Mus musculus: one gene and its partners. The protein of the gene in region 1 purifies or fractionates together with the protein of each later gene. This does not show direct contact. Links are inferred from orthologs where the notes say so. Each region holds a gene or a part of one and is shown on either strand. Other genes may lie near its edges.

Evidence for each region.
Region 2: the proteins of Tsen2 (region 1) and Clp1 purify together in Homo sapiens (affinity purification with mass spectrometry; 3 studies listed by BioGRID and IntAct, counting the BioPlex papers as one, with this or other methods). This does not show direct contact. The link is inferred for Mus musculus from reciprocal best matches to the Homo sapiens genes TSEN2 and CLP1.
Region 3: the proteins of Tsen2 (region 1) and Tsen34 purify together in Homo sapiens (affinity purification with mass spectrometry; 3 studies listed by BioGRID and IntAct, counting the BioPlex papers as one, with this or other methods). This does not show direct contact. The link is inferred for Mus musculus from reciprocal best matches to the Homo sapiens genes TSEN2 and TSEN34.
Region 4: the proteins of Tsen2 (region 1) and Tsen15 purify together in Homo sapiens (affinity purification with mass spectrometry; 4 studies listed by BioGRID and IntAct, counting the BioPlex papers as one, with this or other methods). This does not show direct contact. The link is inferred for Mus musculus from reciprocal best matches to the Homo sapiens genes TSEN2 and TSEN15.

Annotation. Positions count from the first base shown.
Region 1 is NC_000072.6:115,556,113-115,563,438, forward strand, and holds part of Tsen2 (tRNA-splicing endonuclease subunit Sen2), read left to right. Parts: intron 1-3,480; coding exon 3,481-3,988; intron 3,989-5,267; coding exon 5,268-5,345; intron 5,346-7,326.
Region 2 is NC_000068.7:84,722,567-84,730,475, forward strand, and holds Clp1 (polyribonucleotide 5'-hydroxyl-kinase Clp1), read right to left. Parts: upstream 4,722-7,909; 5' UTR 4,597-4,721; intron 3,591-4,596; 5' UTR 3,569-3,590; coding exon 2,963-3,568; intron 1,652-2,962; coding exon 980-1,651; 3' UTR 556-979; downstream 1-555. UniProt on the Homo sapiens protein: Polynucleotide kinase that can phosphorylate the 5'-hydroxyl groups of double-stranded RNA (dsRNA), single-stranded RNA (ssRNA), double-stranded DNA (dsDNA) and double-stranded DNA:RNA hybrids. dsRNA is phosphorylated more efficiently than dsDNA, and the RNA component of a DNA:RNA hybrid is phosphorylated more efficiently than the DNA component.
Region 3 is NC_000073.6:3,697,863-3,704,151, reverse strand, and holds the end of Tsen34 (tRNA-splicing endonuclease subunit Sen34), read right to left. Parts: exon of another isoform or gene 6,224-6,289; intron 3,625-6,223; coding exon 3,437-3,624; 3' UTR 3,117-3,436; downstream 1-3,116. UniProt on the Homo sapiens protein: Constitutes one of the two catalytic subunit of the tRNA-splicing endonuclease complex, a complex responsible for identification and cleavage of the splice sites in pre-tRNA. It cleaves pre-tRNA at the 5'- and 3'-splice sites to release the intron.
Region 4 is NC_000067.6:152,368,288-152,375,337, reverse strand, and holds the end of Tsen15 (tRNA-splicing endonuclease subunit Sen15), read left to right. Parts: intron 1-3,442; coding exon 3,443-3,584; intron 3,585-4,054; coding exon 4,055-4,075; 3' UTR 4,076-4,603; downstream 4,604-7,050. UniProt on the Homo sapiens protein: Non-catalytic subunit of the tRNA-splicing endonuclease complex, a complex responsible for identification and cleavage of the splice sites in pre-tRNA. It cleaves pre-tRNA at the 5' and 3' splice sites to release the intron.

The DNA of each region.
Region 1 (7,326 bases):
CTCTTCCCTCTGCCTTTCCCCTTTGCTCTCTGGCACCGGCTCTTCGCTTCAACACTCTTCCAGGACTTGACTTTTTAAGGAGTTTCCAGGCAGCAGGAGGCCACCACTCTGGGCCCCACACACTACAGTCTTAGGCTATTTGCCATCTACCTCTTATATTTCCAATTACTTGGGATTTCTCCCTCACAGTCGCATGGCCACTCTTGTTGAAGTATTAGGTCATCTGAGAGATGATGAGGCAGGAGGGCAGTGGCTGTGACATGTGACAGAAGAGTGGAGGGGCAGAGGTGCCAGTGGCTCAGCCCAGACTCAGAAGAGTCAGGTCCAGAGCCATGTGTAGTTTTTAATGCAATGTGTACTGAGACAATGGAGTTGTGTTTTACACTATCCCAGAGGGCCTCACAGTAAGAGAGCAGACGAGTAACTTCCTGGGCACATCTGTGCTTCACACTTCACACACCTCCTCTTCGTCCATCCTCTCCACATGAGGTGGCACATGTTAGGTGAGACTCTGAGTCTGAGAAGTGATGGTCACACAGCAAGTATGACATTGTGTGTAGCAGGGATCTGAGTTCACCGTCTGTCCTGCCCAGGGCACTTGTGTGCTTGCCCTGGATCAGCACAAAGGAGGCGGGTGGCTGAATCTTCAATTAAGTGGCTCTTTCAATTTGTTTTTGCTTTTAGGGTTTTTACTAGGCTTTTTGTTTGTTTGTTTGTTTGTTTGTTTGTTTTGTGTTGTTGTTGGTGGTGGTGGTGGTTTTTTGTTTTTGTTTTGCTATACTTTTACTTTTTTTGTTTTTTGTATGCCAGAGATCTTACCATATAGCTGTCCTAAAACATGCAATCATCCTGCCTTTATCCCTGTAGGTTCGAGAAGAACATACTTGCACCACTGTGGCTAAGTCACATTTTCAAGTCAGGGATTCTGATGTATCTTATAGATCCCTTCTTCTACAGTAAGGTACATCGACACAAGAGGTTCAAATAGCAGATGTCCAGAGGATGGAGAAGTGGCTATTAGCTCTCACTGATCTTGCAGAGGACCCAGGACCAGTTCCCAGCACCCACACAGTGACTCACAACAACCTGCATCAGGGGAGTCCAGCTCCCTCTTTCAGCCTCCAAGAGCACCACGTGCATATGCTGCACATACAACAAACCCACACACATAGTCAGAAAAAAATCAAATGAACAGGTTCAAAGAGCCACAAAACCTCTAGAGTCTATGCTGCAGTTGCTAGCACAAGAAAACTTTCTAGCTCTTTCTGGCTTTTCAACTGTGTGTACTGGTTGCCAGGCCACCATGTTCCTTGATGATAAGAAGCTGTATGTAACAAGATCTCTGTGAGCCAGGAGGACTAGCATTCCCAATTTTGTGGGAGATGAAATGGAAGCAGAAGCTACACAGTGGTGAATGACAAAGTCGGACTAAACCCCAGACATGTGCAATACCAGATTAACCACACCTTTTATACTACAGGTTTCAGAGCAGCCTTGCCGTGTTTCAGTCCTTTAGTGTGGGAGGGGGCACTTTTTGAGACAGGGTTTCTCTGTGTCACCCTGGCTGTCCTGGAACTCACTCTGTAGACCAGGCTGGCCTTGAACTCAGAGATCCGCCTGCCTCTGCTTCCAGAGTGTTGGGATCAAAGGCGTGCGCCACCACCTCCCAGCTATGTTTCAGTCTTTGAAACATAGTCCCAGCTACAGATTCAGCCAGGCCTCGTAGCACAGGCCTATAATACCAGCTACTCAAGAAACTGAAGCAAAAGAATTGGCAAGTTCAAGTCTTGGCTGGATAAATGAGACCCTATCTCAAAAAAGAAAAAAAAAAAAAAAAAAAAAAGAGCAGGGTAAGGCACAGTGGACAGTAGTAGGGCCCTTGCTCTTGCTTGCTGAATGGTAATATATGAATGAGTCAGCGATTCGGTTCCCAGTATACAGGGATGTGTGTTCATCTGTGTATAGGAAAACCAATGTGAACAGCTTGGAATTCCAATAAGCCAAAGTGAAGCAGACAACAGCTTTCTAGGTACAAAGGACAGTTTGCCTGCTGGACAGTGTGTGCACCCTGATATATATCTGGGTATCGAGCACACAGGTGAAATAAGAAGAGGAATGAAATGACTTGTATCTTCAGTTGTATCTTCAGGATGGGCAGAACCACTGGTGTTTGCCACTAAGATCAGCCTTCTGCTGATCTTTGGTTGGTAACATGTTCTTATGTCACAGGGACATATCCCAGCAATCCTGACACGGCCCTGTTGTCCTCACCATAGCCTTTGTACCTTGGCAAATGCTCAACTCTTTGAGGATAGAAATTTAATGTGTTACTACACTCTGAGGATTATTATAGGGAACTATTTTCAAATGTTTGGACATATATGTGTGTGTGGTGGTAATCTTGGGTGTCAGTTGAAGATTGGTCTACACAGCCATTCTTCTCAACTGCTAACTGATGAAGGAAATCCCTAGAGCACTGTGGATGGTACCATCTCTAGGCAGGTGGTTCTGGGCTGTATAAGAAAGCTAACTGATGCCGGGGCATAGTGGCGCACGCCTTTAATCCCAGCACTTGGGAGGCAGAGGCAGGCAGATTTCTGAGTTATAGGCCAGCCTGGTCTACAGAGTGAGTTCCAGGACAACCAGGGCTACACAGAGAAAACCTGTCTCGAAAAAAACCAAAACAAGAAAGAAAGAAAGAAAGAAAGAAAGAAAGAAAGAAAGAAAGAAAGAAAGAAAGAAAGGAAAAGAAAGCAAGCAAGAAAGAAAGCAAGAAAGAAAGCAAGCAAGCTAACTGATTGTGAGCTAGAGAGTGAGCTAGAAGCAAAGTTCCTCCAAGGTCTTTGCTTGTGTTCCTGCCTCTGGGTCCTGTCTGGAGCGCCTGCCCTGGCTTCCCTTCATGGTGCCTGTAAGCTCTAAGGTGAACTAGACCCTTTCCCCACCAGTTGCTTTTGGTCAGAGTGTTTCATCACAACAGATGATTTGCCTTACAAGTTGTTGAACAGTGTATAAGGCAAATCAATTCTTCCCATATCAGTGATGTTCCTGGGTACTGTGAAAAGTATCTATTGAAATTCACTTTCCAGTGCTAAAGAAAGGGTCTTATATCATGACTGGAGTATCTGTCAGAAACAGTGTGATAACCAAGATTAAAAATAAGACAAAATGGACCCCAGTAAAAGGCAGCATTTTTCTCTGCCTTATTTACCAGCATCTCTTGGTTTTAAATAGCATAGATTGTCACACTTTGTTAAAGGGAGGTTAACTTTGTCAAAATAAGCAAATAATGTTAAAGGGTCGATGATGCTTGCTTGTCGCTGGACAGTTAGATGCAGGGGAATGAGGGCGGCAAGCTCGGCCTGCAGTCCACCCTTGAGAAGAACTCGGCATATTGGTGGGCCACCTTGAAGGCTTTCTGGGTTACTTTGTTGTCACGGGGTTGAGACTTGAGTGTGTTATTGACGTTGTTTCTGTTGGCAGGTATCAGCATCGGGTGGAATGGGCCAGGGACTTCCTGCGTAGGCAGGGCCACGATGAGAGCACTGTGCAGAAGATCCTTACAGACTACACAGAGCCACTGGAGCTTCCTTGCAGAGAGGAGAAAGAAGAGACCCCACAGCACGAGCCACTGAGCTCCAAGGCCGACTCCTCCCTGGAAGGCAGAGTGGAAAAGGATGAACTCCCCGTGACCCCTGGAGGTGCTGGACAGTCAGATGACCTACCCGGTCTCGGCACACACTCAGACTGCCTGCAGGAGGGGCCTGGCCATGCCACACTCGCTGCGGCTAGTCCATCTAGCCATAATGGGCATGTGGCAGAGGACCCCGAGGTTCTCCCCCAGGAAACCCTCGTTCCACAGGGTGGCCTTTGGCCTGAAGCCAGCAGCCAGGCCGCAGGAGAGAAAAGGGCTGCTCACGAGTATGTGCTCATAGAGGAAGAGCTGTGTGGTGCCCAGGAGGAGGAGGCGGCGGCGGCATCAGACGAGAAGGTACATAGATCAAAGTGCCCTGCTCCCCACATCTGGGCTTCAGTTACAGTCAGCGACAGTCTGAGAGCATTGCTGTTGGTTGTGGCTTTTAAAAGAGAGCCCACATTCCTTATTGCTCTCATTGCAGTGTTAGGACCCCTCTCCTGTACTCGTCACTGCTGCTAATCTCTCACTAGTGCAGACTTTACCATGACTGGGTGTGGATAGGAAAACTGTACCCCTGGGGTCAGTGCCACCCACAGTCGCAGGCATCTTCTGGGACTCTTGGGCATGTCCCCTGGAGATAAGAAGACTGTCAGTCACATCTCCTGCTGGCCAGTGAGAGGTGTCAGCCCTCCCAGATGTCCTTCACTTGCCCCTGGGCAGGCCTGTTGTCCACACTGGGCCTGTGTGGTGTTTCTGAGGCCAGCGCTGAAGCACAGCCCCAGTTGCACAGCAGTTGTAAGGCCTGTTTCCGCTAAGATTCAACCTTTTTTTTTTTTAAATAAATAAGTTAAAGCAAGACCAGTGGGGGCGGGGGGAAAAAAAAAGCAAGACCAGTAATTCTCTGTACATTGTATGGGAGAGGAAAAAACTCATGATAAGTGCCTGATCTCAGGCATGACTGAAGTTTTGACACCTTAGTTCAGGCACACAGCTTGTAAGTGAAAAACACTAAGTTCAACGGTGGAGTTGTCCCATCTGCAGAGAAAATCCACAAGATGGTGTTAGCAGCAGAAGAACAAGAGCATCCATTCCATGTAGGGTTTCTTAAGTATTTATTTGTTTTATGTATATGAGCACACTGTCACTATCTTATGTCACACCAGAAGAGGGCATCAGACCCCATTACAAATGGTTGTGAGCCACCATATGGTTAATGGTTGTGAGCCACCATGTGGCTGCTGGGAATTGAACTCAGGAACTCTGGAAGAACAATCAGTGCTCTTAACCACTGAGCCATCTCTCCAGCACCCACATAGGTTATTTAAAAAAAAAAAAAAAATTTTAACAGATTTTATCTAACGGCGTGAAAAACCCAGTAGAATAACCTGACAATATTCTGAAACCTTGATGAGAAAAGAAAGTCTCAAGTTGGGTGTGGCAGTACATACCAAATCCCACCACAGCTGAGGCAGCCTGGACTACCCTGGCCTATGTAGCCCATTGAGTTTATCAAGAAAATGCTCATTTGGGAATTAAGTCTCATGATAGGAGTGTCTCAGGTGGCTGATTTATTCGTAGTCTCATTCATTTTCTCTCTCTCTCTCTCTCTCTCTCTCTCTCTCTCTCTCTCTAGTTGCTGAAAAGGAAGAAACTTGTGTGCAGAAGAAATCCATACAGGATCTTTGAGTATCTGCAGCTCAGCCTAGAAGAGGTATGTGTGCATCTTGCTCTCAGCCCTGGGTAAGTCCAACCCTGTGCACTGTGCACCTGACCCCACCTTGCAGACAGTTCTGTATAGAATGCTAAATGGTGTCATCACCTACTAGGATGTTCATCCTCACTCAGCCTGTTTCACCATTTGAGAGTGTGTTGGAGCTCACTAAAATGGTGTTTGAGAGCTCTGGGTTCAAATCCTCATCGAGGAAACAAAAGGAATTTTGAGCATTTAAGAGGTTTATCTGAGCCCTTCTCCCCTCTTCCTCCTCCCCTTCTTCTTTCTCTTTCTCTTCCTCCTTTTCTTCCTCCTCCTCTTGCTCCTCTTCTTCCTCCTCCTCTTCCTTTTCCTTCTTTTCTTCCAAGAGAGGTTCTTATTACTGGGATACCAGGCTAGCCTGAATTTCACAGCCCCTGCCTCAGGTGTGCTTGGATTTGGTGTGTACTACCACAACCAAACTGAGTCCTTTTCTCAGCAAGGTTTCAAAATATTGTCAAGTTTTCTGCTGTTTGTGTTTGTTTGTTTGTTTGTTTGTTTGTTTGTTTGTTTGTTTTGAGGCAGGGTATCTCAGGGTAGCTCTGGCTACCCAAAAACTCACTATATAGACAGCTGGCCACAAATGTACTGAGAGCCTCCTGACAGCATCCTGGGTGCTGGGATTCAAGGTGTGCAGCACCATGCTCAGCTAATTTTTGTCAGCTTTTTTTAAAAAATTATCTTTATTAAGATGTAATTAGCACACCAGTTCATTCATTTGAAGTGTGTAACTCAGGCTGTGTTGAAGGTCATTGGCAGATTACCTGCCTGATATTCACAAAGTTCTGAGTCAATCCCCAGTACTGCGAAACAATAAAAAAGTTAATAGAAAAATACACAGTCCACCTTGTGTGGCCACACGTAGCTGTGAACACTACCGGGAGACTGAAGAAAAGTGATCATTTGAGCCCAGCAATTCAAAGCCAGCTAGAACAGCACAGCCAGACTCTTTCCAGGATACAAAGAAGGAAGCAAGGAAGGAAGGAAGGAAGGAAGGAAGGAAGGAAGGAAGGAAGGAAGGAAAAAACTCAAGTTTTTTTTAAATTGCAGAGCCTACTGTTTTTTCATGTGCTGTGTGACTCTGATCACGCCCTGACTGCAGAGGGAGGGAGTATGTTCCAGGCATTTCCTCTGCAGAATCAGTTAGCATGTTCCACTCACTGCATGACTGCGTTCTAAGTAAACTCTACAAACGTTGTGGGTCTTTCAAAACCCTGTCTCAAAAAAAAACAAAAACAAAAACCAAGGGGACTGGAGAAGTGGCTAAGTGGTTAAGAGCACTGACTGCTCGTCCAGAGGTCCTGAGTTCAATTTCCAGCAACCACATGGTGGCTCACAACCATCTGTAAGGGGATCTGATGCCCTCTTCTGGTGTGTCCAGACAGCTACAGTGTACTCCTATATAATTAATACATACATACATACATACATACATACATACATACATACATAACAAAAACAAAGCAGGGAGAAAATACTTTCCTCATCAACATAGCACATGAGAGGTGGCATCCTTTGGTTTTCTGATGGGTGACCTGCCAGGATATTTCCCTCAGAGGGTTATAGTGAAGACCCCATGAGGTGTGACATGTGTCATGTGCCTCTTGAGGAAGCAGGTAACTACATGCGAATCTCTAACCAAGGATGCTGCCATTCCTGGGTGGACATGGCCCCAGTTTTAGTCTCGATTCTCTCTGTTGTCCTGATGTACAGAACGGCAGGTACGTTTGTTTGTTTGTTTGTTCTTTCCTCTAAATTTAAAATGAGCTCCACCAGAATTTGGTTTGATCATGGCTTGTTGAAGGATGGGGGTGCTAAGGGAACTCTTAAGAAAAAAAAGAAGTTTTTCAAATGTGCTCCCTTCTGCTTATTCAGTATAACATTTCTCTTTGAGTTCATGGTCAGTATCAGACATGGCAAGAGCTTAACAAATAGCACATGC
Region 2 (7,909 bases), on another chromosome or scaffold:
GGCATTCAAACATATGTGCAGACAGAGCACTCACACACAAAATACATAAACTTAAAAAAAAGGTAATGGACTATCTCAAGGAAATTAGGTATGATATCATCCCAAATTATCTCTAGCCTCTTATCTCTGAATACCCTAGGAACTAGAAACAGGTTTACCAGTAAGAACAAAATGTGATTGGCTCACAAGTAATTTCTTTTTTTTTTTTTTTTTTTTAATAAGCAAATATTTTTTTTTTTTGACACACTCCATTCTTTTTTTTTTTTATTTTCTTCAAGATTTATTTATTACATGTGAGTAGCTGTCTTCAGACACACCAGAAGAGGGCATCAGATCTCGTTACAGATGGTTGTGAGCCACCATGTGGTTGCTGGGATTTGAACTCTGGACCTTCAGAAGAGCAGTCAGGTGCTCTTACCCACTGAGCCATCTCACCAGCCCCACAAGTAATTTCTTAGTTTTCCCTTCCTCCCAGCACTTTAGCAATAAATCATTCCTATAGCTTCTATAATGCTTAGTGGTGAGAAGTAAAATTAAAAAAAGAATCATACCAACTTCTATCACAATCATATTTATTAAAATAATTGTTTTCAAGTTTGAACTCTCTCACTTTCATCCTGGTTAAATGATATAGCAAATACTATACAGAGATACAAGAAAGTGGTAACAAGAAAACCCACATGGAAGCACATGTGGAAGACGTGGAATTTTCTAGGGTCTTGGAATCTTTAAAATGGTACCTTAGGTGATCTTAAAAAAATATTCAGATTTTCTTTTTGAGCTGTCTCCTTTTGGTTCAGAGTAAATGAACCAAATAATAGCCAGGAGTCTGGCTACTACCAGTTTCAAGAGGTAGCAAATGTGCTTTCTGCTAGTTGGGCCTTGTCAGCTGCCTTAATAAGATTGCTATAGTCCATTCCATCTGCCTTTGGTGATGACCAGAACTCTATGGCCCAGAAAGTGAGGCTTCTTGCAATTACTACTTGAGATCCATGAACCGGATATCCATGATGAGAAGAAAGTTCTTAGGCAATGGGCGGGGGGCTGGAGACAGGACAGTAAACACTTGGTGTTCCACATCCACACTGGTCACAACAATGAATCCAGCCACACTGGTCTCAGAAAGGTTCTCTTCTGTGCCCTCAGCAGTGCTCACACTCAGGAGATGGTGCACCATATCTCTACCAGGGGTGACAGGCACTAACTTGAGCTGGTTGTCTTCCTGAGACATACCCAGAGGTAAACAGGAATCTGGAATGGTGGGTGCTCCAACTTTGTAGATTTTCACATCAGAAAATTTGACGTTGAAGGCATGGGGATAGAAACAGCCTCGAAATCCATAGAAATACTCACGGATACGTTCATCTCTACATTCCCGCCGGAAGTCCTTGGAACGTTCTACCACACCCCCTGATTTTGGAAGCAACACAGTTCGAACAAAATGAGGCAGGTCCCTTTTCAATTCGTTGTACAGTCGCTCTTGATCCAGAACCACAACCACATCCACCTCAAAGGCCGACGCTGCGTGCACCAGGGCTTGGTAACCATAGCCCTTGACCCAGCCACAGGTGTTGATGACACAGCCACTCACAGAAGCCCTTCTGTTCACTTCACACCTTTGGTTGAACACATCTGCTAAGCGAGATGTAATCTGGAAAAGAATCAAAAGAACAAAAATAAACCTATTTTTCTTAGTGATGTATTAATTTTTATTTCATGTGCATTGTTGTTTTCATGTGTGAGGATGTAGGATACCCCTGGAGCTTGAGTTACAGTTAGTCATGAACTACCAGTGGGTGCTGAGACTTGAACTCAGGCCCTCTGGTAGGGGAGCTCTTAACCACTGAGCCATCTCTCCAGCTCCTAAATCCATCTAAGTTCCTCTTTGAGTAATAGGTATCATCCAAAAGCTTTACAGGCTGGAAACCCAACCACAATCCTTGAAATGTGCTTGGCAATTGAGCTACATGCAACCTTAGCACCAAAGTATTTTTAACCTTAGTGCCCCAGTAGTTTTACTTTTCTGAGACAGGGTTTTAGTACAAAGCTCTAGCCTAGCTTCAAACTCCTGAAAGTCCTATCTTAGCTTTCCAAGTCCTAGGATTATAGGGATCAGCTACAATACCCACTGATATATTAACATCAAAATTGATGTTTTTAATGACTGTGGTTTTAACCCCATAACATGGATTTAACTTTATGTTACTTAAGCTTCTTTTTTACAGTGTTTTATTTTTTATTATGTATCTGTATGTCTGCCTGTGCACATGAGTGCAGGTGCACAGAGGCCTAAGGCATCAGATCCTCCTAGCACTGGAGTGACAGGCAACTGGGAATAGCATGACATGGGTGCTAGGAAGTCAACTCTGACCCTTGACAGGAGTAGTACTGTTTTTGATTTTGGTTTTGTTTTGTTTGCAATAGGGTCTTACTATGTCCTGGAATTCACTATGGAGACTGGACTGCCTCTGAATCTGCTAAAATTAAAGGTATATGCCAGACCCCCCCCCTTTTTTTTTTTTTTTTTGGTTTTTCAAGGCAGGATTTCTCCATGTAGCCATGGCTGTCCTAGAACTCTCTCTATAGACCAGGCTGGCCTCGATCTCAGAAATCCACCTGCCTCTGCCTCCCAAGTGCTGGAATTAAAGGTGTGAGCCACCACTGCCCAGCATATGCCAGACTCTTAACTGCTGAGCCATGTCTCCAAGCCCCCTGCTTCCTGTTTTACCTCTTAATAATGAGTTACTACGAATAATGCCACAAGATGCTATGCAGTCTACAGCTGACTTATGTTAAAATGATCTTATGAAATCAGGTGGCAGTAATACCACACCAAAAAATAAAAATAAGAAAGGCAATTATATTCAAAAGGAAAATTTTGCAGTTCTAAGTAACAAAGTTCCCTACTTCCTACCCTGATTGTAACTTTTCCCTCCACCCCCTCTTAAATTCCAGTTCTGACCTTATTGTAAAGCTTGATGTTGGTGCCAGGCGTGGTGGAGCCAAAATGATACACAAGAGGGGCCTGGATGGAGAAACCTTCTTCCACATCTGCTGGACGCTCAATGTACAGGGCCCCCATGGTACCAGGGATGGACACAGAGCCCTGGCCTACATCTAACTCCACGTAAGTAGGACGGCGGCCCAAACGCACTGCGTAGTTGAGTAGCAGTCGACACACAGTGGACTTGCCCACATCAGTAGGACCTACTACCATCACTCGGGGACCTCTCTCTTCTTCCTTTTCTGCCTGCCTCCGCATCTGCTCCAAGGCTGTATGAGTGTTGAGGTAAAGCAACATAGGGGTGTCCTTAGAGACATAAGCCACCTCAGTCCGGCCACTCAACTGCAGAGAACAGCCATGCCAAGTGAAAACAGCCACCTTGGCACCAGCATCAAAAGTGAATTTCTTGTTTCTGGTCAGCTCTGTGCCAAAGATCTCCGCCATGCCAGCCAACAACTCCAACTGAACCGATTGAGAGGCCTCCACCTCAAATCGAAGCTCTGTTTCTCGCTCTAGTTCAAACTTAGTCGTTGGCTTCTTGTCATCATTGGATTCCTCGCTCATCTTTCCAGTAAAGCTGACGTGCCTAGGACCCAAATTAAACATTTGATTAAATCACCACATCAGGCCACTATTCAAAAAAATCTTCCACTGGTTTAGTCCCTTTATCTTTTTCTGCAGTTCTTATTGCTGCCAGACTCACTGTTTACAGCCAGTCTCTCCACAACCAGAAGCTAAAGGTGTTTTGTTTTGTTTTGTTTGTTTCTCTGTGTAGCCCTAGCTGTCCCGGAATGCTCTGTAGACCAGGCTGCCCTGGAACTCAGAAATCCACCTGCCTCTGCCTCCCAAGTGCTGGGATTAAACACGTGCGCCTCCACTATCCAGCAGTAAAGGTATTTTTGTTTGCTCCTGGGCCTCTGGTAGGTGGAATAGTAACACACCTCAACAAAAAGTAAGAGTGAATGACTAGGACATAAAAAGAAAACTACCTACCGATGTAACTAACAGGAGATTTGAATTGCATAGTCTTTCCTCCATCACTCTATTGGAAAACAAAGTAACACATGCCCATTGTCCAGCTCCCTTAGCCAACACGAAACAAGCTCTGAATCGTATGCAAAGAACAGGACACTGGGTGCAGACTCAGAAAACAGTTGCATGTCCAACTCTGGGACTACTAGTAGTTACTTACTATAATCCAACGACTTAATACCTGAACCAACTCCCCAGCTGCTATATGGTGGGCTTTTACACGTCCTCTTGTAACGGTGCTGGGCCGGGAATAACAAGGACCACAGTTGGAAAAACAAAACATTGTAAATTAGAAACTACTGCCGGGCAGTGGTGGCACACGCCTTTTAGTCCTTGCACTTGAAAGGCGGAGGCAGAGGCAGGTGGATTTCTGAGTTCCAGGACAGCCAGGGTTACACATAGAAACCCTGTCTCGAAATAACAACAACAAACAAACAACAAACTACCAAAGAAATTTAAATTACTATTTCTAATTCTGAACCACAATTCTGGGTCTAGTTAGCTCCGACACCAAAATCTGCCGGGGCTTCTCAAAGGTAATTGGGATCCTTAAGCCTTACCTATACGGGCACGGACTCAAAACCAGCTTCACAGAAACCTGGGACCTCTGGAAACCTCCGACCTCAGCAAACCTCGGACCTCAGCAAACCACGAATAACGTTCACCTAAATACTAGCCGGAAAGCAAAGGCGGTTCCGCAATTGCGCAGTAGTAGAAGACGCGATCGCGTGATGCATCTTGGGACCTGTAGTTTGGAGTGAGTGAGCGCGCGTCGCCGCTTGGCCCTCTGGGAAATATAGTTCAAGGATTGTTCGGTGACCCGCGGAGGTGGGCGGGGCAGCGCCGTCACTTTGTGTGGGAAGACGACCGGAGGCGGAGAGGAGAAGTTGCTGGTTCGCCCTCGGGAGGGAGGTGGTTATAGGGTCTCTCCCTATCTGCTGTCCAGGAAAGCTAAGGGCGACCAGAAAGGGAGAGGCATTGCATCACTGTCTAGATCAGAGCTCTGCTCGACTAGACCACAAGCCAAAAAGTGGGGAAGTTAGCCTAAGCCGGAGACCCAGGCAGCTGGAAAGTGGCAGAAACACGCGCACGCGCACGCGAACACACACACATCAGGTCAAGCAGTACCCATTTGAGTCTATGCGGAACTGGCACATAGAAGAAACAAAGTGTAATTCTCCCTCTCTCCCTGCCCCCACCCCCACCTCCTCTGTATGCTCAAGGTGCCAACCTGGCACTCCATGAGATTCTCCTGCCTCTGATCTGACTTCTGGGATTTACAGACTTAAGCCAATAACCAGGCTGATTTTTTTACTTTAGTAAATATAGAATAAAAGTCCTATGATTTCTTTCGTTTATCTTATGAATCAGTCATTATCCAACAACTTCTGCCAGATTCTAAACTGTTTCTCTATGCACATCTGACAGTTATTCAAAATCGTTGACACCACTGCTAACTGGTTCCACGCCTATAATCCACTTCATGAGTATGGCCTTTGGAAACTTATATTATTTTACTGCCTGACAGGCTCCCTTTCCCTGAGACATCTCTTGTCTATAAAATGGGAATAATAACAGTATTCAACCTCCTAAAGTTGTTTTGAAGATTAGATGAGACATATGTGCTAAGCACAATGCCTATAATATAGAAAGTATCTGATGTTAGCCTTAAGTTTTTATTATAGACTGGGGAGACTATAATATCTGTTTATACATTTTTCAAAGTAGTTCCAGGTGTCTGTGTCACTGTACCCAACAAGCCGGGCAGTGGTGGCGCACGCCTTTAATCCCAGCACTTGGAAGGCAGAGGCAGTCGGATTTCTGAGTTCAAGGCCAGCCTGGTCTACAAAGTGAGTTCTAGGACAACCAGGGCTATACAGAGAAACCCTGTCTCGAAAAAAAAACAAAAAAACAAAAAAAAAAAAATACCCAACAAACCCAGGTAGGTATAACATCTCCAATTTCATCTGAGGAGAAAACTAGGCTAATCAGTGACATTTGCTCAAGAACTCAGTTATTAGTAGAGGTAGACTTTTGTTGTTTTTGTTGCTACTACTGCTGCTGCTGTTTTAAGACAGTGTCTTCACTGTTCTGGCTGTCTTGGAACTCACTACATACACCAGACTGGCCTCAAACAGAGATCCACTTGCCTCTGCCCCCAGAGTACTGGATTTAAAAACATTAAAGGTGGATTTAAAGGCTTAAAGGTAGATCTTTTTTTTTTTCTTTTTTTTTTTCTTTTTTTTTTTTTTTTTGATGGTTCATTTCTTTTTTTTTTTTGGTTTTTCGAGACAGGGTTTCTGTGTAGCCCTGGCTGTCCTGGAACTCACTCTGTAGACCAGGCTGACCTTGAACTCAGAAATCCTCCTGTCTCTGCCTCCCAAGTGCTGGGATTAAAGGCGTATGCCACCACGCCTGGCAAGGGTTCATTTCTTTTGCCAACTTAATTGAATCAGTCCTTGGACACCAAGGGTGGTGCAACTTTGGGTGTATCTGTGAAAGGATTTCAGAAAAATGCAACTGAAGAGGAAGATTTGCCTTGAATGTGGACAGCTCCATTTCATGGCCTGAGGTCCTGGACTGAATCAGAAGAGGAAAAGGAAAGGCCACTTAAGGACCTACATTCCAGCCGGGTGGTGGTGGTGGTGCACGCCTTTAATCCCAGCACTTGGGAGGCAGAAGCAGGTGGATTTCTGAGTTCGAGGCCAGCTTAGTCTACAGAGTGAGTTCCAGGATAGCCAGGGCTACACAGAGAAACCCTGTCTCGAAAAACAAAACAAAACAAAACAAAACAAAAAAAGGACCCACATTCCTCTCTGTCTACTTCCTGATCTGGCCAGACGTAAGCAAGTTTTCACCACCATAGCTGCATGCCATTGCCACTGCCATGTCTTCCCCGTGTTGACTGACTCTGTCTCCCGAACCATTCATCAAGATAAAAACCTCCTTTCAGTTGCTTTTTGTCAAACATTTGATTATAGCAACGAGAGAATCATAACTAAAACATTTAAACCAAGAGCTTAGGGGGCCGGATCAGTTTCTAATAATGGGCAAACAATTACACAGTGTTAGCTGTTAGGTGTTGTTCCATGGCTGTATGGGTATATATTCATTTAATCCCAGGTAGAATCCTATGTTGTAGTTATAACTGTAACCTCCATTTTACAGGTTTTCTGGGTTTCTTTTTTAAGATGTATGTGTGTGAGTGTTTTGCCTGTGTGTATATATGTGGACCACGCTCATACTTGGCACCTGCAGAAGTCAGAAGATGATGGAGCACTGGATGTTTGTGAGCAGGCCATGTGGCAATCAAATCCAGGACCTCTGCAAGAGCAACAAGTGCCCTTAACCCATGAGCCAACTCTTCAGCTACTCCACCCAACCCACACTGTTTGTTTGTGATTTGGGGTTGTTTGTTTGTTTCAGTTTTTCAAGAAAGGGTTTCTCTGTGTAGCCCTGGCTTTCCTGGAACTCATTCCATAGACCAGGCTGGCCTTGAACTCAGAGATCCATCTTCTCTGCCTCTGCCTCTTGAATGTTGGACCTAAAGGTGTGAACCACAACTGCCCCACATATTTTTATGTAGAAGAGTGTTTTGTCCACAAGTATGTGTGTGCATTGTGTGCATGCCTGATGCGCTTCTAGATCAGAAGAGGCCTGATTTCCTGGAACTGGAGTTACCAATAACTGTGAGCTGCAATTGCTAAGCCATCTTTCCAACCCTTGTTTGGTTTTTAAAGCAGGTGAATACTTTGTTCATCCTTGCCCACATGATGAATTTGAACTGAGAGATCAGGGGAACTTTCTGGTCTACCTTTCTCTTGCTGGTCTTACCTAGCACTCAGTTTTCAGGCAGGTAGTTGTCACCTCTCA
Region 3 (6,289 bases), on another chromosome or scaffold:
ACTCAGCATGTTCATGAAGATTCGAATGGCTCCGTTACCTTACACCATCAACCCCTAAAAGGCGAACTCAACAATCAGAACACTCACCTACGAACTCAGGCCCGAGACAAAGAGAGACAAGGCGGTTGGACCGAGGTCTTATAGTAACGTCGCCTTGTAGTGACGTCATCACGCACCGCTCGCGACTACGCCAATCAGAAGCAGGAAAGCCATAGAGACGAGCAGGCCGGCTAGAGCGGCGCTTCGCTGGGCCGACTTGCCAGTGAGGTGGTTAGGCGATTAAAGGGCTATGGTGACATTTGGTTAATCCAAGAATTAACGAGGCTGCCCCTTCCAGGGCTAAAGCATTGATTGAGTAACCACAGTTGTCACTTTTTGTTTCAACAAAAACTCTTGGTAAAAACTTACAGGGAATTAAGGGCAGCAGCCAAGGTTCCCCACCACTGTCTCAATCTCATGGCAGTGCCCTTGCCCTTAAAAGTACTCGGGTTTGTTTGGAGAGATGGCTCAGCGGTTAAGAGCACTGATTGCTCCTCCAAAGGTCCTGAAAATCCCAGCAACCCCATGGTGGGTCACAACCATCTGTAATGAGATCTGACCACCTACAGTGTATTTAGATATAATAGATAAATAAATCTTCTTTTAAAAGTGCTAAGATTTTAGGTGTGAGCCACAAAATACAATAATAAAAAATACAAACATTATGAAAATAGTATAAATATGTCGTGCTGGGCTTATTTTAATATTGAAATACACATCTTGTGCTGGTTTGTCTTGACAGCTTGACACAAACCTAGACATGTGGAAAGAGGAACTCATTTAAGAAAGTGCCTCCATCATCTTGGCCTATAGGCAAGTCTCTCCTAATCTATTTATTGTTTTGATGCAGGGTTTCCTATCAAATGACTATGAATTCCAGATCCTTCTGTCTATACCTCCCAAATGCTGGAATTACAATCCGCTTTCATGCAACTGATATGTTTGTTTGTTGAGACAGGGTCTTTCCTCTTATTCCTGGCTGTCCTGGAGCTTCCTATTCAAACTCACAGAGTTCTGCCTGGCTCTGTCTCCCAAGTACTGGGATTAAAGACATGCACTACCACAGCCAGCTTTGTGTATATCTGATATTTTATAACTATTTTTTATTTAAGGGAAATGGGGTCTATGAGTCCTGGCTATCCTGGAACTATGAACTATGTAGCCAGGCTGGCCTCAAACTCATAGACATGTCCTTGCCTCTGTCCTTGAATAGTAGGAGGATAGGCCTGTACCACTAGGCCTAGCTCAGATATTTTTTATTTTAAACAGTGTGATTGGTAAGAATTTACACTTGCGCGGGGCAGTCTTTAATCCCAGCACTTGGGAGGCAGAGGCAGGTGGATTTCTGAGTTCAGGGCTACCCTGGTCTACAGAGTGAGTTCCAGGGCTATACAGAGAAACCCTGTCTTGGAAAAAAAAAAAAATTTGCACTTGCATTTGTATACTCAAAAGGCATCTTGTTCATTTAGTCTGGGAGGACAGATTGGTAGACAAGGAGACAGATTAGCTTACTTTCTGGGTCAAACATTTGCTTTCTAAATTTTTTTTTTGTTGTTTTTTGTTTGTTTGTTTGTTTGTTTTTTCCGAGACAGGGTTTCTCTGTATAGGCCTGGCTGTCCTGGAACTCACTCTGTAGACCAGGCTGGCCTCGAACTCAGAAATCCGCCTGCCTCTGCCTCCAGAGTGCTGGGATTAAAGGCGTGCACCACCACGCCCGGCTGCTTTTTAATTTTTAAAAATGATTTATTTAATGTGTACAAGTATTTTTCCTGCCTATATCCACACAAATACTCCATGTGTGTACCTAGGACCTTCAAAGGTCATAAGGGGTTAGATACCCAAAGACTGGAGTTGTGAGCCCTGTTTGTGCTGTGAACAAAACTCAGGTACTGGGGCTGGCAAGATGGCTCAGTGGTTAAGAGCACTGACTCTTCCTGAGTTCAAATCACAGCAACCACATGGTGGCTCACAACCACTAGTAATGAGATCTGGCACAGTCTTCTGGTTCGTCTGAAGACAGCTACCGTGTAGTAATAAATCTTTGGCCTGGAGCAAGCAGAGTTGACCAGAGCAAGCAGAGGTCCTAAAAATTCAATTCCAAACAACCACATGAAGGCTCACAACCATCTGTTCAGCTACAGTGTACCCATATACATAAAATGATTTTTAAAAAAAAATCAAAAAAACAAACAAACAAAAACAAAACCCTCAGGTCCTATGCAAGAACACCGAGCCACCTCTCCAGCCCATATTTGTTGATTTGAGACAGGCCCTGCTGGCCTGTAACTTGCCATGTAGACCAGGCTAGCCTTGATCTCAGAAATTCCCCTGCCTTCACCTGAACACTGGGATTAATGGTATAAACCACCACACCAAGTTAATTTTTTTAAAAACTACATATATGTCTGTGTGAGTATGTACACCTGAGTGTAGTTGTGTTTAGAGGGCAGAATAGGGCACCAAATTCCCTGAAGATGGAGTTGCAAACACATAGGAGCTGTCCTCTGTGTTGGGAACTGAACTCAGCCCCTTTGGAAAACCTCAACTGCTGAGCCTCTACAACCCCACAAATGTAGCCCAGGCAGGTCTCACACTCATGATCTTCCTGCCTTTGCCTCTTCCGCATATCTTTCTGGACTGGTTTACACCACCACAAGCAGCTCATGCAACAGTTCTAGTTATAACCTTTACATCACATATCTAAAATGGTTTGTAGTAATCTCAAAGGAACCAATAAGATGGCTCAGCCCTTAAAGATCCTTGATGGCAAGCCTGATAACCTGAGTTCGTTCCCTGAGACCCACAAGGTAAAAAGAGAACAGGCTCTCTCAAATTGTCCTCTGACCTCCTCCTAAGTTCCATGGCACACGCATGCTTACATACATACACAGGTATACTTACAATAAATAAACGCCATATCTTCAAGGCAACCCTTAGTGCAATGAAAAGAGGCAGATTCCTGAATCACAAAGACCAGGTATAATGGCCCAGGCCCAGTTTTGTGACCCTGGTCAAGTCATTTCCCATTCCCTTTTCTCATCTGAATACAGGAATGAGAGCCCCACATTTCAAGGATTGTTGTAAGGACTCAAAATACAAACATTTATTCAACAAATTTATTAGAACTGCAGGAACCTAAGCCCCGCAAGAAACACAAAAGCCAAACAAAAGCAGTCTCCATGCTCAACAAGCACAATTTGGAAACAAAATAAAGAACAACACAGGTAGTAATCGCCTTAAAACAGGAAAAACAAAACCAAAAAACAAACAGAAAGGATGTAGTGTTCAAAACCCTGGAATCGGAACAAACCAGGCAGAGCAGGAGAGCGCAAGCCTCCGTGCAGAGATGAGCTGGGGTGACCATTGAAGAGGGTTCTTGCCACACACAGTCTCCAGCTCACTGCAGGCTGGCCCACTGCAGGGATGTGTAGACCACCTTCCCATCAGGCTGAGGGGAGCAGAGCAGCAGGGTCTTCCTGACACTGGTTCCCAGGCGGCCTGCAGAGACCAGGTCCTGAAGTGGGATGGGGTCCTCAGCAGACCAGCACTGAGCAATGTAGTGAGCATGGAAACGCAGTGGATCACCTGGGGGAAAGAAAGATGCATAGCAGTTCCCCTCCGCAGGGGCTGGGATGAGATCTGACATGGGGGCCTTGGGCTTACTGCACTGTTGTTTCCTTTGTAGTGCTGGGTATAGAAGCCAGGGCCTTCCTTGTGTAGATTAGATAAGTATTCTACTGCCTTTCTATTTATTTATTTACTTACTTACTTACTTTTTTTGTTTGTTTGTATTTCGAGACAGGGTTTCTCAATTCCCAACAGCCCTGGCAGGTTCCTGTGGGTGCAGGAACCCTTAACTGGTCCTCTGCAAGAGCACCCGGTGCTCTTAACCATTGAGCCATCTCTGTAGCACTCTCTTACTTTTGGAGACAGGGTCTACGCTGTCCTTGCTAGTCTTGAATTTGCCCTGTAGTTATACTGACCCAACCCTGGCATTCTCATTCTCCAGCCTCCTGAGTTATGTGTATCATAGGCTACATGGACATTTCAGCTTTCAGCATACACTGAATATTTTGAAACCCATATCCTTGGACCCAACTACTTTTTTGTTTGTTTGGTTTTTGGTTTTTCGAGACAGGGTTTCTCTGTCTAGTGCTGGCTGTCCTGGAACTCACTCTGTAGACCAGGCTGGCCTTGAACTCAGAAATCTGCCTGCCTCTGCCTCCCAAGTGCTGGGATTAAAGGTGTGCGCCACCACACCCGGCTCCAACTACTTTTTTGTTGTTGTTGTTGAGACAGGGTCTCTCTATATAGCTATGAATGTTCTGGAATGTAGACCAGACTGGCCTCAAACCTACAGAGATCTCCCTCCTGTCTATGTTTCCTGAGTGCTAGGAATAAAGGTGTATACCATTACACCTGGAACAGCTAGTCTATGCCTAAGGATCCTCTATCTTCTCTTTTTCCTTTTTTCTTTTTTGGTTTTTCGAGACAGGGTTTCTCTGTGTAGCCCTGGCTGTCCTGGAACTCACTCTGTAGACCAGGCTGGCCTCAAACTCAGAAATCTGCCTGCCTCTGCCTCCCGAGTGCTGGGATTAAAGGCGAGCGCCACCACGCCTGGCTTCTCTTTTTCCTCTTTTGAGACAGAGATTTCATGTGTCCCAGGCTGGTTTTGATGACCCAAGATGGCTTCACAATGGCTAAGAAACAGAATAGAAAGCACAGAATGGTTCCTTCCATGGTACAAGACATATCTATCTATGAGACTAAACAATACACAACTACCATGATTAAAAGATGTGGGGAGATGCACTTGTACCCTCAAGCACTGAGGAGACTTGGGCCGTGGGGGCAGAACACGATACTCCTTGAGCTTAGGAGTTTAAGACCAACCTGGGCACCATAAAGAGATTTTACCAAAAAATAAAATAAAATAAAATATGAAAAACAAACAAAAGAAACAAAGCCAAGATTTTTTAAAAAGGCACAAGTACTAGGATGCAGCTCTAATAGACCACTTATGTAGCACAAGCAAGGTCTGATCCCCAGTATTGCAGTCATAAAACAAAAAACGGGATCAGTCTGAGACTCTAATAGGCTAGAAAAAGAAAAGATTTTATACTAGGATAGTGCAAAAATCAAAGCACATCATGGTGGCAAATGCCTTTAATCGCAGCACTGGGGAGGCAGAGGCAGGCAGATCTCTGTGTGTTAAAAATCAACCTGGTCTATAGAGAAAGTTTCAGAACAGCTAGGGCTGTTACACAGAGAAACAACTGTCTTAAAAAAATCAAATACATGATAATGATAAAATAAAAATAGTTAAAAGAATGTCACCCCAAAAGATTCAGATAGTGAACACGGTTAATTTTGTGGGCCTCATTGCACAGACTTGGCTCTGCCAGCAGAGCACAGCAGCCATATGTGTTGTGTAGGCAGAGGCAGGAATAATGACTTTAGTTACTGAACAGCTGACAGTGTATCCCTGGTGAATCTGAACTAGCGTGATAGGAATCTGAGTACGACTATACAAGAGGGTAAATCACAGGAAATGGAAATTTAAAATATAGAACTGGAGAGACGGCCAAACGATTAAGAACTCAAGCCATTCTTCCAGAGGGACCCGAGTGCTAAGTTCCCAACACATACATCAGACGGCTCACAAGTGCCTGTAACTCCAGGTCCAGGAAATCCAATGCCATCTACAAGTCTCCTTAGACATCTACACAGACATGTACATACACAGACATGTACATACACAGACATGTACATACACAGACATGTACATACACAGACATGTACATACACAGACATGTACATACACAAAACATAAAAAGAAAACAGAAATGAAATCCAAATCTTTAAGAGGGGCGGAATGAGAATCTAAACCATGAGACTGCAACCCTCTAAGGGAAACTGTTGCTATGTCCCTGCCTGGCAGCTGGGTTCTTGGCAGAGCCTAGGCAGTAATGAGGCTCTGTGGCTGTTACAGGGTTCCAGCCAGCAGAGAGGGTATATCAAAATGCTTGAGAAACTAAACCTGTAACTGCTTTCCTAGACACTTAGCAGCTTTGAGCCTCAGGCAAAATTTAGAAATAAACTTAGAAGCATTAGAGTGATGAGGCTTTAGACACTATTTCAAAGAAGCAAGGATTCTCTCCATGTCCCATAAACAAGTACTCACTGTTTTAGAAATATTGACATATCAGTGCCGGGCATGAATGCTTATGCATTTTAATCACCTCAGCAC
Region 4 (7,050 bases), on another chromosome or scaffold:
ACATTTGACCTGATTCCCACAGAGGTGGCCTGTTCTCTTCAGGCCTGAGCTCGGGGAAGAACACAGTGAATTTTGAGCCATTGCAGAGCTCAAAGGCAGGGATTTTGTCAGGGATGCCTTCCATTATAGCATGCTGAGGCTGGTGAAGAAGTCAGGGCCTTTTATAGATAGAGTCACAGTGTATCCTACTTGGCTATTGAGTACAGAAGGATCTGTGAATCAAAATTAATATGATTCTTAATTCATGGTGCATTTTATTTCAATGCATTTAGTTAAGAGTAATACTTTACTCAGTTTCTTATTCTCACTGCAAATCTGTAAAGATTCCACTGTCTTTGTTTTAGGGTCATTAGAGAAAAATAATATTTAAGATTTATGGAAAAGGCTTAAATAATCTGGCTCTGGACGTTATAGCCAAATGGTGTTGAGTTTGTCTTTGGTTATACTAAGTTATTAAAAATCAGTGCCCTATTTTCAGCATACAGAGGTCACCTGTGAAGAATTATCAAAAGGAGAACTCTGCCAGCAGCATCAAATTTTGCTATTGATAATCAACAGCTATGATTATTATCAACATACCCTTTTCTTTAGTTGAGACTTTCTCCGTGAAATTTCACTAAGTAGAAAAGAAACCCTTGTTCAGATGTAGAGTTCTCTCGTTTCTAAGTAAGATTTCACATTTATTGAAAATTCAATGTTATCCTTCAGTGTGTCTTACCAGTCATGTTATTTTTAAAGTAGAACCTCAGAACATCTGATGTTATCCATATTTTTTAATAATTAAGCAATGACCTGCTGGCTTAAGTATTTTTATGAGCTTATACAGTGTACTTTAAAGGGAACAAAGAATAAAGTCTGACTACGGAGATGATGGCTCTATATTAAACACATGTTCATAGTAGACTAGACATGATTTTGAAGAGGAAACTTTGTAAAACTGCCCAGCTGTGGTCAGGCAGTAGCTAGGCACCGTTCTGTCCTCTATCCCTGTGAAGACACACTGGTAGTTTTCCCACTCACTGCACCAAGTGGGATAAACAGGAGCTCGGAGATGGGAACTTCCATTTAAGTTGGCAGTAATTTCCCTTAGCTCTGAGAACAAAACCTCTTTTACAACTCTGGAGTTAAATCTCTAATCTAAGAATGTTTTGGTGTTGAGGATTCCGAAAACAAGTATGAGCCGAGACTGAAAGGACAACAGTCAATGCAGTGGACGTTTCCATCCTCACTGGCAGTGTGAGATGTGCGTGCCTCGCCCAGGTCACCACCTCACCTTAGGAGATGTGCACATGTGCACACACAGAAGCACACACACGAACACACACACAAACACACAGAGGCATGCATGGACATACAGAAGCACACACACATAGACACATACAGGTGTACACATGCACAAATACTCACCTACCTTTAATTTAAAAAATAATAATGTTTAAAAAAGAGAAATTGAATACAGTTGTCTTAACAAGATCTTTCTTTCTGTCCTTTCTCTCTTCTCTCTCTTTTCTCTCTCCTCTCTTTCTCTCTTCTCTCTCTCTCTTCTCTCTCTCTCTTCTCTCTTTCTCTTCTTTCTCTCTCTCTTCTTTCTCTCTTTTCTTTCTTCCTTCCTTCTTCCCTTCCTTCTTTCCTTCCCTTCCCCCTTCCCTTCCCCCTTCCCTTCCCTCTTCCCTTCCCACTTCCTCCTCCTTCCCCCTTTCCTCCTCTTCCCCTTCCGCCTCCTTCCTCCCCCTTCCTTCTCCTCCCCCCTTCTCCTCCTCCCTTTCTCCCCCATCCCCCTTCCTCCCCCTTCCTCCTCCTCCCCCTCCCCCCTTCCTCCCCCTCCCCCCTTCCTCCCCTTCCTCCTCCTTCCTCCCCCTTCCTCCTCCTTCCTCCCTCTTCCTCCTTCCCTTCCCTCCCTTCCTTTCCTTTTCTTTTTTGTCTCTGTCCTGATCTCACCATAGTTTGCCAGTTAAGCATATGTCTTAGTCAGGGTTTCTATTCCTGCACAAACATCATGACCAAGAAGCAAGTTGGGGGGGGAAAGGGTTTATTCAGCTTACATTTCCACATTGCTGTTCATCACTGAAAGAAGTCAGGACTGGAACTCAAGCAGGTCAGGAAGCAGGAGCTGATGCAGAGGCCATGGAGGGATGTTATTTACTGGCTTCCTTCCCCTGGCTTGCTCAGCCTGCTCTCTTATAGAACCAAGACTACAAGCCCAGAGATGATCCCACCCACAAGGACCTTTCCCCCTTGATCACTAATTGAGAAAATGCCTTACAGTTGGATCTTATGGAGGCATTTTCTCAACTGAAGCTCCTTTGTCTGTGATAACTCCAGCTGTGTCAAGTTGACACAAAACTAGCCAGTACAGCATACTTAGAGAAATTTACTTTCAGCGTGTCCATTACAGGGTTTATGGGCATTGACTAGGCTCTGTGTATGTTGTATACTGAGGAAGAAGCAGTGCGAGCGGCTAAGAGCAGTGTTGCTCTTGCAGAAGCCTCTGGTTTTATGCCCGGCACCTATATGGCAGCTGGCTGGTAACTGCAGTTCCAGAGGCTCCAACACCCTCTTCTGTGGGCGCCGCACACACGTGAGAGATAGATATGTATAGGCAAAACACTCACATACAGAAATAATTTTTAACGAGCAATATTTGACAATTTAAACAAATAAGGGGAGAATGGAATTAACTTTTGAGTGAGGAAATGATGCCAGAGAATAGTGTGAATAAAGGAATATCAGAAGTCTTGAGAATGTTAACATAAAAGACTCTAATGTGGCTTCCTCTGATTGACTTGGGACAGACAAACCAAAAACAGGCCTTACAACAACAGGAGCACCGCTGGGCCAGTGGGTAACCAATGGGGAGTTACATAGTCAAGGCAGTGGTTATAAACCCCATGGAAAAGCAAGAGGCGCGTTTGTTACAGTCAGTTCATTACTTTTCAGATATTTTGAGTTAGGGTCTCACTGTGTAAGCCCTGGCTGACCAGGAACTCTGTAAACTAGTCTTCTCTCTAATTTCCTGTGACTCTCCTGCCTCAGTCTCCCAGGCTGGGAGTACAGGTGTCTTCCATCACAACAGCCCTCTAATCTGTTTAAAATAATAGACCCAAGTGTCACTTTGTTTCAGTAAGTAACCAAGTTGGAAAACAGGAAAATTAACATCTATGGTCCTCAGCCAATTAGATACACAGAACACTGTAGTTGTAGTTGTTGTTGTTTTATAGGTTTCAGACTCAGCTAACCCGGAGAGAGTGAAAAGGCAGTATGTAGGCCTTTCTTAGGGTGTCTGTGTGAGAGGACAGCTTCAGATGTTCCCATTTGAGCCTACAGACATGGCCTTAGCATTTTGGATGCCATGTCCTACCTTTCCCTCAAGAACTTATACTGTTTGGTCTTACTGTTAATTGAGTAACCATGAGTCTCAAACAAACTTTGTCTTCATTTTCAGGATAAGGGAAATCTTGAAGGCGTCTAGAAAGTTGCAAGGCGATCCAGAACTGCCGATGTCTTTTACTTTGGCCATAGTGGAGTCAGATTCCACAATAGTCTATTATAAACTTACCGATGGATTTATGCTGCCAGACCCTCAGGTCAGTTTTGAAGTGATTCACAGGAAACAGTAATGGGAGAGAGAGGCGTGGCCTGACCCCAAGTGTGGATCAGGCTTCTACTTCTTTTGCCATGTGAGAAATTCAAGGCAAAAAAGGCTTGGTTTTTATTCCTCAGATAAGAAAAGGCCGCTTTTTCCTAGCTGTTTTTTGAAGAAATAATTTAATTTTCCTGTTCTGTGAAGAATATCCCATTTTTCCAGAGCATTTTGTGCAGTCATGCATCTAAGTAGCTGGAGTGAAATGCAAAGGCCAGTAACGGCTGTAGTCAGTTGCTTACTGAGAAAACCCTGAGTTAACGTTCTGTCCCTAACATTTTAGTACATGTCTGGTATTTGCTTGCTCAGCATTTGTCCACCTAAGTGTGATAGTTACATTAAATATCTTTATAATTTTAGTCTTGCATGTGCTGTCTATTAGTTGCACTCTGACCTTCTTCCTCTGTGTTGCAGAATATTTCTCTTAGAAGATGACATCTGCCCTTCTTGGTGCTGACTTCAGTTCTGAAAGATTGGATGTGAGGCTCCTCAGCGAGCTGCTCGTCTTTTATCTCAGAGGTAGTCAGGGCTGACTTAGCTAGTCCCAACCCATAAACTTCCTTTCAGAATAAAGCCTTCTCCGATGGAAGCACTATATTGCTTGCAAATATAGTTAGCCTAGAACTTTCTTATCAGAGACAGTACAGTTGCATGCGGGTTTACACCAAGGATACGTGCAGAGTTGTGGAGCCTGGCAGTGCCTCTGCCATCCCACGTAGTCGATAGACAGGTATCAGTGAGTGGTACGGAGAAAACGCTACAGCAAGAAAACGGACACAAGAGCATTAACGTGGTCATGGGTGTGAATGACACGCCAGGCTATGAAAGTGACAATCAGATTACTGATAGTGGTCTCAGTAGGATGGCAGGCAGCAAGTGGATGCCTTTGTCCTTCTCCACATTTCATTTGTCATTTGTATTACTTTTATAATAAAACGGTTTAAAATAAAAAATATCTTGAAATCTGTCGTAATCATCCATCATTGCATGCTAAAGGTAGCAGTGTAGCCAGCCTTATAACAGCACTTTTATGATCTGGGCTGCTGTCTCACTGAGGTGCCACTGAGATGCGCTTCCTCTCTCAGCCTGTTGTTGCCTGTGGCAGCTTCCTGTGTCTGTGATGCACTCCGCCTCTCAGGGTTTGGTAGAGGCCGCATTCTGTGCCTTGTCAAATGGGCTATCCCAGCACAACTGGTTGCTTTCTCAAAGCCAAGAGAGTCAGCAGGTTGGACCTACTGTCTCATGTCACAGGTCTCCCGTCTCTTTTGCCTTGTTCCTCAATTAGAAGTAAGTCACAGTTTCCACCTACACCAGATCTCATGGCTCATTAGGAAGTAGTAGTGAAAGGAATGGGAAAAAACAAAAAAACAAAACAAAACAACAACAAAAAAAACCTAACCAGACAAAAGCTGGAAGTAGTATGCGGAGTGTAACAGGCTTTTCTTGGTCTGTACTTGACCTGCGCTTTCTTGACCATGCCCGAGACCCACTTTTTCTTGATGAAAGACTTTCACAACTTCAGATTCCCTTTGCTGCCCCAGAAGGCTTGAAGAACGTGTTTCTGCCACTCCAGTGTGGCAGTTCCAGATCCAAGAGTCATAAGGTATAACTTCTAACCTTAATTCCTACTGGGTCGTATTGGACTGCATGTAAGGAATTCTTTCGTTTTGGTGCTGGAGAAAGCAATCTACATTTCATACAGAAACGTGTAGCTTAAAAAGGTCAGAAACAGCCGGGTGTGGTGGCGCACGCCTTTAATCCCAGCACTCGGAAGGCAGAAAGAAAGCAGGTGGATTTCTGAGTTCGAGGCCAGCCTGGTCTACAGAGTGAGTTCCAGGACAGTCAGGGCTACACAGAGAAACCCTGTCTTGAAAAACCAAAACCAAAACCAAAACAAAACAACATAAAAAGGTGAGATCACTGAGTCAGAGCTAGGTAACAAGACCAAAATGGCCTTTTAGGTCTAAGGCCGGCACTCAGTTTCATTGTGCAGTTTGGATTGTTGATTTCAGAATGCTCTGTGGCTTAAAGCTGTTCTGCCAGAGCCAGCTAGATGCCTGCTAATGTGAGCAATGCCCCGACAGTCTGAAGGGAGGAAAGGGAAGCATCTCATCTCAGTGAAACAACTCGGTGAAGTGGCCTGTTTAACTTTGTAACTGAGTTTACCTAAGACCTTTCCATTAGATAGCAAGAGTCCTGAAGAACAGAACGGGAAACCATGTTCTTTTAAAAACACACCAAAGCATGCTGTATGTAGACTTGGGTCTTAGGACAGTGCCTTGCTTTTTGCCTGGAGTCCACATGGACAGCAGAGGGTGCTGTAGACTAAGCGCATCTCCAGACTGCAGGCTCCAATTAGCTTGTGGTTTTTCTTGAGAAGAGTTCTCGAATTGTTTCAATCTGTGGGAAGTGGTATAAATAAAAGTACAAATAAGGGTGCCCACACCCCCTCTTTCTGACAGACCTTTAAAATTACACACTACCGGCATTAAATATGGGAGTTGAGTCAGGCTTTGCTTAAAATGTAAATCTATATTTAAAAGCAAAAGCCTGTTGGGGGAAGGGGTGAATAGGAGAGACTTTTTTCCCCCCTCAATCCATATGCATTTCATTTTTGCTTGCAAAAGCCTGATTTATTCAGTGAGATTCAGGATTAGTTAACTAGCACACAGTGCCTAAGCTCAACGTGAATCGCTGCTGTATTCCATTTAAGCTTGCTTCCTTCTTTCCAGTTGGAAGGAGAGGAAAAGACTGTGGGATTTCTCTCTGCCTGCTCTCCCCCGAGTTCCTGGTTGTTGTGCCCTCTGCTGGGAAGGCTCAGGGCAGCGTGAAGTCACCCAGGTCCAATAGCTCCTGACTGATTTCTTTTGTTCTCCTGCCTGGATGGCTTTAGAAGACTCTCTCCACACCTTAGGACTGCTGTAGAGAACATGGGCGCAGAGACACTTGTGAATTCAAAGATTCCAGCAGAGGAGCAAGCGTGTAACAGCGTTCTCATGTAATCTGTATTCGTTGACTGGACCATCTTTACAGTTTTATAAGCCTAGAACCAAACAACTTAAAGCTTTACTCGAGGTCTCATCTCTTGTTCAGAGAGCATTTCTGTGCTGAATTCCTCTGTGAGGTCACTTTTTCCATTGCTATCCCAGCAGGAAGCCACTTTCCTACTGCTGTGCGGTGCTTCTTGCCAAGGCATACAGAGCTCCTGTCAGGAGAGGGTTATCTGGCAGCTATATGTTTACCTTAATCCCTTACAGAATAATGCGCTGTCCTCTGGGCCGCTAATCATTCGCTTCATCTTCTTTCTGGCCAGTAACTGCTGTTTCTCACCACTGGCCTCTTCTGCAGTGTGACCTGCTTAATGGCCTTTGAATAACAACTCTGTGTGCTCACAAATGGCCAAAGGTGGG